Danio rerio: one gene and its partners. The protein of the gene in region 1 interacts with the protein of each later gene in a biochemical or structural test. Links are inferred from orthologs where the notes say so. Each region holds a gene or a part of one and is shown in the gene's direction. Other genes may lie near its edges.

Region 1 (5,131 bases):
CACTTTTTAAGAGAGGACAAAACTTAAATATAATCTATACAATATTATGTAGCTAATGTGAAATTTATCATGGATAAAATACAAAAATGATAACAAAATAATAAAACTTGTTTATCTACTGCTAGTACCTACTACATTCAGTTGACACAGTGGATGCAGTTTACATTGTGACTGAACTTCTAGTTGACATTACTTTTAACGAGATATCAAAGTTATAAACACATTTTTTATTTATTTATTAAAAACAAGAAAGTTGATGCATTTAGATCTCCAAAGTAGGACCTGCTGTGCTGGCTAATGTTGGCCCATGGTAACCTTTGATTTGTCTCGCCAACCCATTTGAGAAGAAAGGGAGAATTGAGGAGGGTTCTGAGATTGTCATTTAAAATTAAATGTAACCCTTTGTTTGTTTGTTTATTTGTTTTATTGTTAAAGCCTAACTGAAATTGAATGTTTCAATTAAATGGTGTAAATTACTCAGATTTTGTTTAAATGTGCATACTGTCACCCGGCAATGCAGAGATTTTGGTGAGCAAATCAAATCAAAGGCAAATTGTGCTTGACTTCTGTATTCATATTCATTTAAGTTTTATTGCAATAATGTTTTCTTTTAAAAATGTATACTGCATTAGTTAATACAATTTAATGTAACATTTATTTTGTACACAAAGTAACAATTATTTGGAAATATTATGAAACAAATCACTCATGGCAACTTTAATGTAATGTAGTTTGGTATATTTACCATCGGCCACGGCTCTCAGTGATGTTTGGTTTTAGGCCCTTCTTACGAAAATGTTTAGGCACCACTGGTCTTGTAGCATACGAGCTTTATTCTAGAATATTCTGACAGATGGCGCTCTACAATAAGGATTTGCTGTCTGAAACGCAGCTAGAACTTTCCACCTCCGTTTCGTCCTTGGGGCAAAATCCACATCTGAGCAAACGTAACAGAACACGCCTATAACACAAATACATAATTAAATACAATTAGCATCACAGGTGGGCGCAATTAATTTCTATAATTTAATGTACAGGTATCTGGTAATATGATTGTGCCTCTGTGCAGTAACTTACTTTTCTGCTGGCGTAAGCATTTCAGTAATTTCCTGCAGGGTAGTCGAGGCACTGGTGAGAGGGGTACATAACTTACGTGCATTCTGATATTTTCTCCGTGTTCAGAAGTGGGACTAAAATAAACGTAGGTTGTACCTTTCAGTTATTGTGTGGCAAGCCAATTAGAGTTTGTTTCATAAAAGGAAACGACAATGTTGGAGCGGAACACCTACATAACTGACTTGAAATCTGATATAAAATATTGGAACTTGGCTCATTTCTGTAGACACGTGACCGTGGAACAAAACGTAGTCCGACTGTGTATTAGTGCGCTCGCAGTAACCCTAACATTAGATAGTTGATATATTACTTAATTTAACGCCATGTCAGCTCAACAAGAATGCTTTAAAATAAGTATATTTATATACTAGGATGCAAAAACATATTTGTTGTTGACATAAAATGAAATAGCCGTAGAACTATTTGCCAATGCGGATGAATATGTCGTCCGAACGTCATCTTTTTTCAATGGGAAGCCATGATGGAAGTTTGAGAGTGTAACAGGCAGTGGAGCAGTGGAGGATAAGGACAGAACCGGAGGTGTCTCTTACGCCACATTTAAATATCGAGTTTTTCATTTCTTGGTGGAGGCTGTCACATTTTGTTTCATGTGTTGGAACCTGGTCATCGCGGATTGTCGTAGAGTTTAATGGCTTTTATTTTCTAAGGATGTGTAGACGGGCTAGCGCGTTAGCCGTTGAGGCTAGACGGAGCGCGAGCTGAGTGCGAGCGGGGCTCTGACGACCGATCTTCAAGTGGAAGCACCGGAGAGGATTTTCTCTCCGCCTTTCCGCTCAATCACGGCGGCTTCGGTGCGACCAGAGACTTGTCGTGCACTAGAGATTCTGCAGTTCCAGACGTGGGAAGTTGCTTATCTTTTCACCCAGGGCTCGTCTGAGCCGAGGAGGGCATTTTGGAAGCCGGGCCTGTGGTGGTTTGGAGCGAGGCCCTTGATGAGTGAGCCACAGCAGACTCCATTCTAGCTAGCTGGGGGACTGCGAAACGAGCAGAGCATAAAGACGACCGACCGTCCGAAAGCAACAATACTCTCTCTCACACTAAAAACCCTAAAGACTCCTGTCACAGCCATGGCTGCGATCATAAAGGAATTTGTCAGTAGAAATAAAAGGAGATACCAAGAAGACGGGTTCGACTTGGACTTGACATGTATCCTCTTTGATCAATCAAATGTCCCTGTTCTGTCTATTGTGTTGAAACCAGTGTCGGCAATGAAGGTAACGGCTTGCATCTTGTTCCAAATCAAGAAATCTCTGACGTCCCGTCCGAATATAAAAAGCTATGAGCATTTATTTACATTTTTTGCTTTTCCCTTTTTATAGGAACTATTGACTGAGTCCCCGATTGTACATGATGTGATCTAGATCAGTTGGTTTCTGTTCCTGCATCAGCTCAACGCCGTTTAGATTAATGTCAGTTGTTAATTTATCCACGTTATCGAGCCGTCGTTTCATTTATACGGTTATTTTAGGCTTGTCTGCAAGTTACATGTGACGACTACAATATAAGCAACTCCAGTGAGGTCATAAAATGTCATTTTCCTCATTTTACGTAATCTGATCTATCGATTGACCGCTAATCTGCAATCTAACTCCCAAAATGTTTACATTTCAGATCAAGACAGTTTGGGGGTTAATAACAAAAGACGCGTCGCAGGTTTATATAATGCGATGGATTAGATGAAATGCACAAGCAGTGTCACACAAAGAGCATTGCATCAGCTGCTCGCAGAAAATAGATGCTTGCGCTCAACTTGTAGTTTTGATTGACCAAAAAAAAAAAAAAAAACAAGTCCGTTCACACGCAGGCGAACAAAAGGAAATGCTTTAGTATGTGAAATATGCCTTTTTGTAATCGCAGGAAGGGATTCGTGCAGTGCAGCGCTTTATATTAGAAGCGTCATTGACGTTTGTTCCCCCGTTTGTGCAATATGTCAACGTCATTTGACAATTTCAAGCACAGGTATTGTATGCATATACGTTATTTGGCTTGTGATCGTTGCTTTCAGGCAGTAGCTTTATATCCTGGTTGATGAAGTGTTAAAGCACGAGAGGTCTGGTTTTATTTCAGCAGGTTTCAGTGTTATTGAAGATCCTTTTGATGGAGCTTTACCGCCAAGTCTGATGTTTATCTACAGTCCATTGTCCTTTTATATAACTCTTAGCTGTTCTGTAATATAAACTCGCATATAAGATTAATTTATATATAAGAATAATATTTATATATAAGACATTAACAAAGACTAGAAGGATAGATAGAGGGCAGGATCAATACATTCAAGATGAGCAATAAATTCACTTTTCAATAGCATTAAGAGTATGCCATGCCTTTGCATGTTTTGATAATCGTTCAATTTTTAGCATATGCATACATTGAACAAGGTCTAGTGTATTACATGAGCCATCCTGTAAATGAATTGATCGCATGGACATTGATTTGCCCCAGCCTGCTCAGATGGTGTGTGGGTCACTATATTGACCCATTGCATTGCATCATGCAATGCACTTATTGCGTTTAAAACACACTGTCAGGAATAAATTTTAAGAATGACTTCATTCTTTCAGTCCACTTTTGCTATAATGATAAAGCAATGCTATCTATGGCAAAGATCAGTGAGAATACACACTTTTAACTTTACAATTCTTATCACACATCAGAAAGATCGTTAACTAGACATACACATTTAATCTGTCTAAGATCAGTGAGAATATATACTTTTCACTTTACAATTCTTATCATAGATCAGGAACGAATGCAAACTAGACATACACTATCTTTTTTTTACTTTAAAATATGTAAAGTTAGTCTAGATTACACTAAAATCAGTATAGAGAGTTTCAAGATGAAGAAAACTGGCCTTACTAACACTAGACCGCTATTGTTCTTGCATGTACACAGCGCTGAACCAAAAAGGTTTAAATTCAGCATTCTGTTTGATCCCTTTATATCAATAATTGGTTAATTTAGAGTTGTTTTTATTTTAAATTTAAAGAATGTTTGAGCTTTTATGCTAATATACTTTATAGTGTGCCATGAATTAATTGCAATCTTAAATTTCCCATTGATTCCTGTAAGACTTTAACATCTCATTAAAGATAGCTGAGGTTGTGTAGGTAGTAAGTTGGCAGCTCAACAATATAACATGCAGAACTTTGTATTATGTTAGTGATGTAAAGTGAATGGCTCTCCAACTTTGAGTCTCACACTTTTTTGTTTATAACCATATCTGTTGTGGCTAGTGTAGGGTACAATGGTTGCTTCATTCAGTGCAGTTTTCTTTTTTTTTCAGTGTTATGTGTGGAATGTATGTTAAGAGATACAGACTCTTTCATTTGTTGGCAAGAAAGTTATTCTGATTTAAAGTTTGATAGTATTGTGCATATCTTTGAAAGCTAGATAACTTGGGAATGTGTGTTTTGATATTTGGTCTAGCAATTTATATAGGAACGTTTTTGCGTGTTTGATAAGGCGCTTGAATTTACTAAAGTTCTTTGCGTTTCAGACTTTTTGAATCAAATAATCCTTTTGGCCCCTGAACCATTAACAAATAGCATACGCTGCAAGTCTAAAGATAACATTTATGAATATATGAATTTTATTGTTTTATGAGCTGTTCTTTAACATACTCTGCTTTATGTTTTAAGCATTGTTTCAATTCTTGCATAATTGTAAAAGCACTTTTTTTCTGAATTCCGCCAGTTTTAAAAGTTTTATGCCTTTTGAAAGTCCTTCAAAGAATCACACAGTCCCAGAGCTCACACACATGTCGTCAAAATGGTTCTTTTGCTGAAATGTGAAGTTTGCCAGATCAGGAGTGAGAACCGCATTCTGCCACACCATTCGAGAACACAGGAAGTCCAGATGTTTCTTTTTTCATGAGCTTTTTGTCAGAAACCATCATAGTTTAATTGTTGACGATAAATTGTAAGAAAATAAGTTATATTGGCAATATATTTGATACAAAAAGTGATTCTAATAGACGTGTATATTTTAGTTT
Region 2 (5,178 bases), on another chromosome or scaffold:
TATTAACATGTATTCTGTCACATTTGTGTGCAAAAACAGTGCAAAACTAAACGCACTGTGTGTGCGTTCGTACATGAACTTTGTAACACCAGGCACGTGCACACATGGGCTCAACCTGTGCAGTGCACATGCCCTTTTTAAATAAATTTTATCCTGCAAATGCCCCTTTGAAGGTCTCTGCACGGGCCTGGTAACGACATTGTGTATAACTCATCGTTGCAACTCCACAACAAGCACATCAAATAATAAAAATAATCATGGTAAAGTTCTTACTGTAGTATTTCTCAAAAATGTAACGTGAAATCTGCTTCCTTCTTGTCTGTCACTGTGCTGTTTACCTGACTCAGCCGAGGTGAAGATTGAAGCACACTCTGACAGGCACGTGGGAACGGTGGGTGAGGAGAACCAGTATTTAAGACACAGGCCACAAAAACAGCATTGTGTTCAGAGCAGAAAATCCCAATGTTCTGAAAGGTATAATAAATAATCTGATAAGTTTTGAGCTGAAACTTTACAGACACATTCTGGAGACACAAAAGACTTGAACAAGGGGTAAAATAGGTGCCCTTTAAGATTTCAAAGACTATAAAATGGATAATCTTTTACTTCAAATTAGGATCAAATTGTAAAAAAAGTGAAATTTTTATCAGTATTTTAGTTTTTTTTTTTCTAAAGAAAATGTGTTAATTACACATTACAACAAGGCCAGGTTTCACTGGGGCTAAGCTTAGACCAGGACTAGGCCTTATAGTTAAATTATTTTTTAAGCAGCTTTTATTAAAAAATGACTCAGAAGAACAGAGCAAATTACTGGTGTCCATCATTAATCAATGACACTGACATATTTTAAGATGTCACTGCGAGTTATTTTTTAAGTTAATTTAATCAGTAAAACTGGAGGTCTGTCTTGTTTTCAGTCAAACTGATCAAAATAAAGCAAGTTTATTATTAAAACAAGAACAAATACGCCAGTGGGTCTCTAGACAACTTTATAAACCAACTTTATTTGAACTGAAAAAGAATTTTCATACACTTTATTGACCTATATTTGTTCTTGTTTAAGCCAAACACTCACTTAAGCCTCAAACAATATATAATTAATGAAGTTATTTTAAATTTAATTAAATTACGATCTTTAAAAACGTAATGTTAGAAACACATAAATATCTACTGTAGTGTAAATTAATATTATTGAACAAATTCATTCCTCCTGGCAGACAAACCGCATTACAGAATGGCAAATAAACTTTTACATTAGTAAATCTTAAATAAATCAACAGACTGTAACTAAATCATTCAGCAACGTCAAAACTTCTTGACAACAATCCTAAAGTTGACTTGTAAATATGACTTCGTTCGGCCATTTTATCCTGGTAAATATGACATTTACAGATTCACTTGAATAGTAAACACAGATATTCAATAAAATACTTGTCTCACCTTCGCCCAGTTCTGAATATATATGTGTTTTAAACCCTACGCATATATTCTACATCATCTTATTGTAAGTGACCAACAGAGGGAAGCAAATCCCTCATGAAGCTTTCCCTGAACACACTACCGAATGCACACGCAAAGCTTTGTGGGTTCTGTAGTTTAAATGGTGGGTATAAGTTTCCGGGAAGGCCGGATGCACGCTCTCTTTAGTGTTCGAGCCTGACACGGACAGGTAATGGCGGCTTTAATGTCCCTTTTCAGCTATAAATTTCTACTTTACGCATGCGTAATATGTACGATTAAGTAATATTTAATGTTCCCTTACGTAAGGTAACAGATGTACGTATTAATTTCTTAACTAGTTGAGTACATAATGCCGAGAAAAGAGCTTTATTGCAGTTAACGTGTTTCCACAAGGCGCGTTCAGGCCTAGCAGCAATGTTAGCCTGAGGTGAAACCGCGTGCTACCTCTACATATAAATGACTCGCCGGGATTGCTAATATATATATTTATATGAAGAAATCAAAATTTATAACGTGAGGACGAATGTGCCATTATACTATGTTCTGTTGAGAAGGAAGCGCTTTTCAGTGTTTGATGTCAAAGCTAAACCGGGTTTTCGTTCCACGTTAGCTTTAATGCTTTTTAACTTAAATTAAAATTTACCTCTAATCAAGCACACGTTAATTATATATATATATATATATATATATATATATATATATATATATATATATATATATATATATTATACATATATATATATATTATACATATATAAATTATACGCTAAATTAATTATAAGTCTAAGTGACGTTTCACTTACATTGCAACACCTATTATTTAGCACAATGGCGTTTGTATATCCTTTGCAAATTTGAGTACCTTTTAGCAACTTCAAAGTTTTTCTTTACCTTTTTTTGTTCAGGCGTCAATAAGTCGCCATGCCGGTTGCCAAGACTTGGGTTTGCAGTAAGACGTACGTCACCCCAAGACGTCCTTTTGAGAAGTCACGTCTTGACCAGGAGTTAAGACTCATTGGTGAGCGCAAAGTTGAAAATAAAATGATTATTAATGTTTTTTTCCCCAAAAACGTGTTTCTTACAAAAAAAAACGTGTTTCTTACAATTGTCTTACAATTTTACCTGCCACAGGTGAGTATGGTCTCAGGAATAAGAGAGAAGTCTGGAGGGTGAAGTTCACTCTGGCCAAAATCCGCAAGGCTGCCAGAGAGCTGCTCACTCTGGATGAGAAGGATCCTAAGCGTCTCTTTGAAGGTAACTGAACTGTGACTGTCGTTCAAGACTGGGTGGCCAATGATTAAAATAATGCTTGTCAGATTGTCAGTGTTGCCAAGAATTCCTCGTCAATGAGGCCATATCTGCCAATACATCCTTACTGGTTCTTTATCACACTTGTTTAACATAACAATATTTTGTGATTATTATTTTTAAGGTAATGCTCTGCTCAGGCGTCTGGTGCGTATTGGAGTGCTGGATGAGGGAAAGATGAAGCTCGATTACATTCTGGGCCTGAAAGTGGAGGATTTCTTGGAGAGGAGGTTGCAGACTCAAGTCTTCAAGCTTGGGCTGGCCAAGAGTATCCACCATGCACGTGTGCTCATTCGTCAGAGGCACATCCGGTAAGATTTAGGAAGCACAGGTTTAAAACTCAAATAGAACAGGATTTTGAAATGTTTAATCCTCTGGTGCTGCTTTCTCTAGTCTTAAGTTTTAGTTCGACTTTTTAGATTTATAGAAGCAAATTATTTGTCTTTTGCTAACTACATGTGCAAAGAACAATCTTAAATTATATATATATTTATGGCAGATTGCTCAAGTTAAAGAACTGATATCAAACACATTCAGTCTTATTAGATGTTTTTCTAAAGTTGTTTTTAATAATGATCAAAGTTGGTTGACATTTGAGCTTGAGATCTATGAAATGGATTTAAACTTAGGGTGCAGTACCAAACAGCTACTAAACATTTTACTTTTTTTTTTTTTGCCAAAATATCAAAACAGGTTTTTAGGATTTGTACAATCTTATTCAAAAGAATAAAACAAGTATTAGTTATTGACAAGTGCTCCAGAGGGTTAACTTTCATTTCCTGGTATGTGTATATTGGTTGTCATCAACACGTGTTGAGGCTTTCTTCCTCTTTCATTAGCTGACCACGTTTAAACTCCTCCCAGTGAGGTGGAATGAAATATTCTGCAAGGTCAATTCGGTGATTAAACCGTATACCTTTGCTTGTAAGCCAAAAATCTAGACCTTGCCATGAAGTCTGGGGTGCTCTAGTGCACGAAACAGTCGGAGGTAATGTACGTGGGCACTTTGGCAGATTTTTTTACTAAAATAAAGCTGCACTTCTCTTGGCCAGTGATTAAGCTAAAAACTGTCAGATTTTCAGTGGTGTCAAGAATTCCTCGTCAATGAGGCCTTGAGATCAGCAGCTTTACTTTTGACATCTAAAATCTCTCTGTGGACCTTTTTTTTACAACTTTTTTTATTCTCTCTGTAGGGTGCGTAAGCAGGTTGTGAACATCCCCTCCTTTGTGGTGAGGCTGGACAGCCAGAAACACATCGACTTCTCCCTCCGCTCTCCATATGGTGGTGGCCGTCCTGGCCGCGTCAAGAGAAAGAACGCCAAGAAAGCCCAGGGTGGTGGTGGAGGCGGTGATGATGAAGAGGAAGATTAAACTGTTTCCTCTTAAAGAGGTGGAGGGACTCAGCAGTGCTTGCTCTCTCTTCTCCCTCAAGTTTTCAATAAAAATGGTTCATTCCCAATTTATTTGTCCTGCTGCTTTCAAACTGATCTACTTCAAGTAACTACCAATAATGGCATTTTACAATCGATTTACCTTAAACAAATTATGTAATTTAACAGTTGCACAAATGCTCAAAGGTTTCAAACCAACTCGAGTGTATGTTGACAACCCACTTGAGTAACTCGAGTTCAACCTAATGTGCAATAAAACACAACATGACAGCCAAAACTCAAGAAACTGATACCTAGTATCCCTAGTGGGTTAAACATTTTTTAATTCATTTATTTTTGTAGTCATATTTGACTGTCATCATTTGCTGGTCAAAATGAAATGCATTTAATTACAGACTTAAATACAGAAAAACTGCAAACATCTAGAGGTAAAACCCAAATTTGTTTGGGTACATTGGCTGAAGCAGCCATTAAATCTAAACTCACTTCAAAGAATATATTAAGATAAAATATTTTTTATTTAAATCTTAATTTTTTAGATTGCACTTTCGGCTAGGAACTTAATACATTAGTTGTAATCTATCTTCATTGTGCTGATGATAAGTGGTGATAATCTTGGAGTGTGCAGTAGGCTTTTTTTATGTGCTCCGGCTTAAGAAATGTCATCCATCTTCTACAGATCGTCCTGGGGACTGATTTGTCCTCTTGTCTCAGTGTTGCTTGTCTGATCACTGTGAATGAGGTAAAATATGAAATTATATGTAACTTCAAATTGTATTCAATTTATTAATATTAATACATGATTGTTTTAAAGATGTTTACCTTTCACCATCCTTTTCCAGTGTTTAAACAAGGAAAAACAAAACGATCATATTAGCACAATCATAAAATGAATTTTTTTTTGTATAATTAATATAACCTTAGGTATTTGCTGACCTTAGTTCGCTGTCCTGCTACAGCAGCTGCCTTTTTTGGTACTCCCAAAGTGTCAAATGAGTGGCTTCTCACCCTAATAGCT
Region 3 (5,172 bases), on another chromosome or scaffold:
AACCTGTAACTATTGGCTTTCACAGTAATTGGTTTTCCAACTATGGATGTCAATGGTAACCGGTTTTCAGCATTCTTCTACAAAAGGAAGAAAATTATGAAAGTTTATAATCATTTGAGGGTGAGAAAATAATGAGTAAATGTTCATTTTTGTGAACTAACTAGTGAAACTTTACTCATTTCAAATCTTTACTCATTTCAAACCTGCTATTAACAAAAGAGGATAGTTTGAAAAATGTTGCAAACCTGTAACCATTGACTTCCACTGCATTTTGTTTTCCTATAAGTTTCTTCTGCTAAACACAAAAGAAGATATTTTGAAAAAATGTTGCAAACCTGTGACCATTGGCTTCAAAAGTATTTGGTTTTTCTACAGTAGAAGTCAATGGTTACCGGTTATCATCATTGCTAAAAATATCTACTTGCAACACACTAAAGAAAATCAAAAATCCACCTGAGGCTGAGTAAATAGTGAGGTTTTCTTCATTTTGGGGTGACCTATCCTTAAAAGTTTAGTCTGTGATATACTTTCGAGGGTAGGGATGTTGTTTTTACTAGTGAGTGAGTTTTAACATTCTTCAAAATATCTTCTTTTGTGTTCAAAAGAAACTTATAAAGCTTTATAGCCACTCGAGGGTAAGAAAATAATGAGTAAATGTTCATTTTTTGGTGAACTAACTAATGAAAACTTTTACTCATTCCAAACCTGCTATAAACACAAAAGAAGATAGTTTAAAAAATGTTGGAAACCTGTAACTATTAACTTCCATACTATTTTTTTCAACAATGGAAGTCATTTGTTACCGGTTTTCAGCATTCTTCAACAAAAGAGAGAAAATCATAAAAGTTTATAATCATTTGAGGATTAGAAAATAATGAGTAAATGTTTATTTTTGTGAACTAACTAGTGAAACTTTACTCATTTCAAACTTTTACTCATTTCCAACCTGCTATAAACAAAAGAGGATAGTTTGAAAAATGTTGCAAACCTGTAACCATTGACTTCCAAAGCATTTTGTTTTCCTATAAGTTTCTCCTGCTAAACACTAAAGAAGATAGTTTGAAAAATGTTGGAAGCCTGTAACCATTGACTTCCAAAGCATTTTGTTTTCCTATAAGTTTCTTCTGCTCAAAACAAAAGACGATAGTTTGAAAAATGTTGCAAACCTGTAACCATTGACTTCCAAAGCTTTTTTTTCCCTATAAGTTTCTTCTGCTAAACACAAAAGAAGATAGTTTGAAAAATGTTGCAAACCTGTAACCATTGACTTCCATAGTATTTGTTTTTTTCAACTGTAAAAGTCAATGGTTACCGGTTTTTAGCATTCTTCAAAGTATCTTCTTTAGTCTTCAACACAATACAGAAAATCAAATGAGGGAGAGTAAATAGTGAGTAAATTGTTTTGGTGAACTATCCCTTTAAGCTTTAGTCTGTGCTATACCTTTGCAGGCAGGGATGTTGGGTTTACTAGCCAGTGAGTGAACCCTGCTGTGGTCATTTGACTAAACAAACAGATCTGCTGGCCAGCCTCCTCTCCGTCTGGGACCCCGGAGACTGCAGCTTTAGCTCCATCCCTCCCTCTCGCAGCTGTACGAGAGACCACTACTAAACGCCAGAGAATTGGACACTGTTGCTCACACGTACAGAGACGCAGACGAGGAGAGAAGTTAGCAAGAAGAGGCTTTTCCTAGACATGCTTTAAATCCAAACGTCAAGGTAAGAGATGGGACTTTACTCTCCTACAGTTTTTGAACCGAGAGTTTTACTCCATGATGTTTTTAGTTTATTTTCTCAGTGAACGAGTTCCAGGTTTAAACAGTGAAAGCAATGATGTGAAATTTAGAGGAGTTAGATTGAACTTGTCGTAACTCTTTGGGTGTTTGTACAGTGTTCAGCATATTTGAGCTCACCCCTCACACATCTATCTTTTAACTGTATATAGACCATTTTCATGGGTGTAAACAAACACAGTGGTCCCAACGTATTTCCTTTTGTACATTTTTAATTCAGCTTCCGAGAGTCCAAAAAGAGCCACATATTGGTAACTAATGTTATGATAGCTGTTTTAACATTATGTTATGATGGAATTGCCTCTTGTTACAGTTATTAAATGTTCATGGACCAATGACATGACCACATTGAAATGGTCTATAGCAGGGGTGTCCAAAGTTGAGCTTGTCCTGCTGACTTTAGCTCCAACTTGCTTCAACAAACCTGCCTGAAAGTTTCTAGTTGTGCAATAATATTGTGCAATATTGTGCAGAAGAGACTTAATTCTTTCATATCACATTTTACCTGTTTTTATGCTTTGTTTTGTTTTTACGCATTTTTATTATTTGTTTTTATTTTTATTTTACTTGTTTCTTTTATTCTTGTTTATGTAAAGCACTTTGAATTGCCATTGTGTATGAAATGTGCTATATAAATAAACTTGCCTTGCCTTGCCTAGTATACCTAGTAAGAGCTTGGTTAGCTGGTTCGGGTGTGTTTGATTAGGGTTGGAGCTAAACTGTCCAGGACATTGGCCCTTTAGGACTGAGTGTGGACACCCCTGGTCTGTAGGATGCTTTAGAGTAGTACAGTATGTGTGTTTTTTTAAGACACTTCTATACAGCTTAAAGTGACATTTAAAGGCTTAACTAGATTAATAAGGTTAACTAGGGTAATTAGGCAAGTTATTGTATAATGATGGTTTGTTCTGTAGACTATAGGGAAAAATAGCTTAAAGAGGCTAATAATTTTGACCTTAAAATGGTTCATAAAAAATTTTAAACTTCTCTTATTCTAGCCGAAATAAAACAAATAGGACTTTCTCCGGAAGAAAAAATATTATCAGACATACTGTGTAAATTTCCTTGCTCTGTTAAACTTCATTTGGGAAATATTTACAAAAGAAAAAAATTAAAGGGGGCTAATAATTCTGACTTCATCTGTTTATATATAAACTTAGTCCCTTTATTAATCCGGGGTCGCCACAGCAGAGTGAACCGCCAACTTATCCAGCAAGTTTTTACACAGCGGATGCCCTTCCAGCCGCAACCCATCTCTGGGAATATATATACAATGAAAAACTTTATTCAAAGATGACTCTTTGGATTTACTCAAATGTTTTACGTTAAGTGGTTGTAAACAATTTATTTGGGCTGAATTTAAACAAACAAATTTAGTTGAACATTATTAAACTTAATTTGTTTAAATTCAGCACAAATAAATTATTTGCAACAGTTCTGCATGCAACACTTTTTTTGTATAAATACTATACAAACTATACAAGTATCTTATGTAAAACAGAAAAAATATTGTGCAAAAGAGATATTTTAAGGTTGAAAAAGTAAGCAGTTTGACATGACTGTGGTAAATTCACAGGTAAACCTTATTGAGTTCTTGTAAGATAGTTTATGTGGTGATAATGGAGAAAATAGTGTTTCTACAGGTAGTTTGTTTGTTGTGACACTGAGAAATGCACAATGTTTTTTATAGAGATACAGAGTGATTGAATGTACATTTATTGTCTAAATTCACTGAGTAATGGAGGGTATACAATTTTTAATAGGGGTGTATTCATTTTGGCTGTGTAATGTGTGTTTCATCCAGATGTTGGCTCAGATGTTTAGATTTTTTTAAAGAAAGATTTATCCTGTCTTAAAGAATTTGAAGCATTTTTTTGTTCAGCTTTTGTTTGTTTAGCATCGATCTCTTCTGTTTATTTGTGTGTTAAACGTGTTGCATTTGACCGAGAATGTGCCGAGAGCAAACAGATCTGCGCCTTACAGTCAGTTTGAACACCTTTACACACCCTCGTCTTCACTGCAGAGGCTTTACAGATGTGTGTTTTCTTGTGAGGCATTGTAACGTGCTGTTGTGGTGGTTTGTTTGAGCTCTTCTGTTCTCATTGAAACTCTCGCTGCCTTTTCTTTAGTAGTTGTGTTTGTGTCGTAAAACACAACATTTAAAGAATTCCAGAATCTATATAATCTATAAAATCTAAATAACTAACAAACCAGACTGGTAATCTAACTGTACAATCTATACATATACTTTAGATACTTAACTATACACGTAATCTAAGACAAACTGTACAAGCACTTAATGCAAAACAGAATAATATTGTGCAGAAGGGATAGTTTAAGGTTGAAAAAGTAAGCAGTGCGACATGATTTGCGGTAAATTCACATGTAAACCTTATTGAGTGCTTGTAGGATAGAGTTTAAGTGGTGGAATTGGATAAAAGAGTGTTTCCACAGGTGGTTTGTCGAACCCACTCACCAGTGTGAGGGACATTCAGAAATGCGCAATGTTTTTATAGAGATACAGAGTGATTGTATGTACATTTATTGTCTATATTTAATGAGAAATCGATCAAATGTAAACTTTATTAGGGGTGTATTCAGTTTGGCTGTGTACTGTTTATTTCATCCAGATGTTGCCTGCGATGTTTAGATTTTTTTAAACAAAGATTTATCCCATCTTAAAGAATTTGAAGCATTTTTTGTTCAGCTTTTGTTGGTGAAGCATTGATCTCTGCTGTTTATTTGTGTGTTAAACGTGTTGCATTTGATCGAGAATGTGCCGAGAGCAAACAGATCTGCGCCTTACAGTCAGTGTTTGAACACCTTTAACACTCTCGTCAACACTGGAGAGGCTTTACAGATGTGTGTTTTCTTGTGAGGCATTGTAACGTGCTGTTGTGGTGGTTTGTTTGAGCTCTTCTGTTCTCATTGAAACTCTCGCTGCCTTTTCTCTAGTAGTTGTGTTTGTGTCATAAAAACACAACATTTAAAGAATTCCAGAATCTATATAATCCATTAAATCTAAATAACTAACATACCAGACTGGTAATCTAACTATACAAAATATACATATACTTTAGATACTTAACTATACACGTAATCTAAGACAAACTATACAAGCACTTAATGCAAAACAGAATAATATTGTGCAGAAGGGATAGTTTAAGGTTGAAAAAGTAAGCAGTGCGACATGATTTGCGGTAAATTCACATGTAAACCTTATTGAGTGCTTGTAGGATAGAGTTTAAGTGGTGGAATTGGATAAAAGAGTGTTTCCACAGGTGGTTTGTCGAACCCACTCACCAGTGTGAGGGACATTCAGAAATGCGCAATGTTTTTATAGAGATACAGAGTGATTGTATGTACATTTATGGTCTATATT

Evidence for each region.
Region 2: the proteins of ptenb (region 1) and rps9 form a complex in vitro, tested with the Homo sapiens proteins (2 studies listed by BioGRID). The link is inferred for Danio rerio from reciprocal best matches to the Homo sapiens genes PTEN and RPS9.
Region 3: the proteins of ptenb (region 1) and pdgfrb form a complex in vitro, tested with the Homo sapiens proteins (2 studies listed by BioGRID and IntAct, with this or other methods). The link is inferred for Danio rerio from reciprocal best matches to the Homo sapiens genes PTEN and PDGFRB.

Annotation. Positions count from the first base shown.
Region 1 is NC_133187.1:19,017,583-19,022,713, reverse strand, and holds the start of ptenb (phosphatidylinositol 3,4,5-trisphosphate 3-phosphatase and dual-specificity protein phosphatase PTEN), read left to right. Parts: upstream 1-1,581; 5' UTR 1,582-2,204; coding exon 2,205-2,283; exon of another isoform or gene 2,284-2,351; intron 2,352-2,796; exon of another isoform or gene 2,797-3,096; intron 3,097-5,131. UniProt on the Homo sapiens protein: Dual-specificity protein phosphatase, dephosphorylating tyrosine-, serine- and threonine-phosphorylated proteins.
Region 2 is NC_133191.1:35,113,469-35,118,646, forward strand, and holds rps9 (small ribosomal subunit protein uS4), read left to right. Parts: upstream 1-1,638; 5' UTR 1,639-1,669; intron 1,670-2,366; 5' UTR 2,367-2,382; coding exon 2,383-2,479; intron 2,480-2,592; coding exon 2,593-2,715; intron 2,716-2,893; coding exon 2,894-3,080; exon of another isoform or gene 3,081-3,757; intron 3,758-3,962; coding exon 3,963-4,140; 3' UTR 4,141-4,230; downstream 4,231-5,178. Other genes in the region: rap1gapl (rap1 GTPase-activating protein 1), read right to left, coding at 4,834-4,891, 5,080-5,178. UniProt on the Homo sapiens protein: Component of the small ribosomal subunit. The ribosome is a large ribonucleoprotein complex responsible for the synthesis of proteins in the cell. Part of the small subunit (SSU) processome, first precursor of the small eukaryotic ribosomal subunit.
Region 3 is NC_133189.1:3,757,555-3,762,726, reverse strand, and holds the start of pdgfrb (platelet-derived growth factor receptor beta), read left to right. Parts: upstream 1-1,632; 5' UTR 1,633-1,716; intron 1,717-5,172. UniProt on the Homo sapiens protein: Tyrosine-protein kinase that acts as a cell-surface receptor for homodimeric PDGFB and PDGFD and for heterodimers formed by PDGFA and PDGFB, and plays an essential role in the regulation of embryonic development, cell proliferation, survival, differentiation, chemotaxis and migration.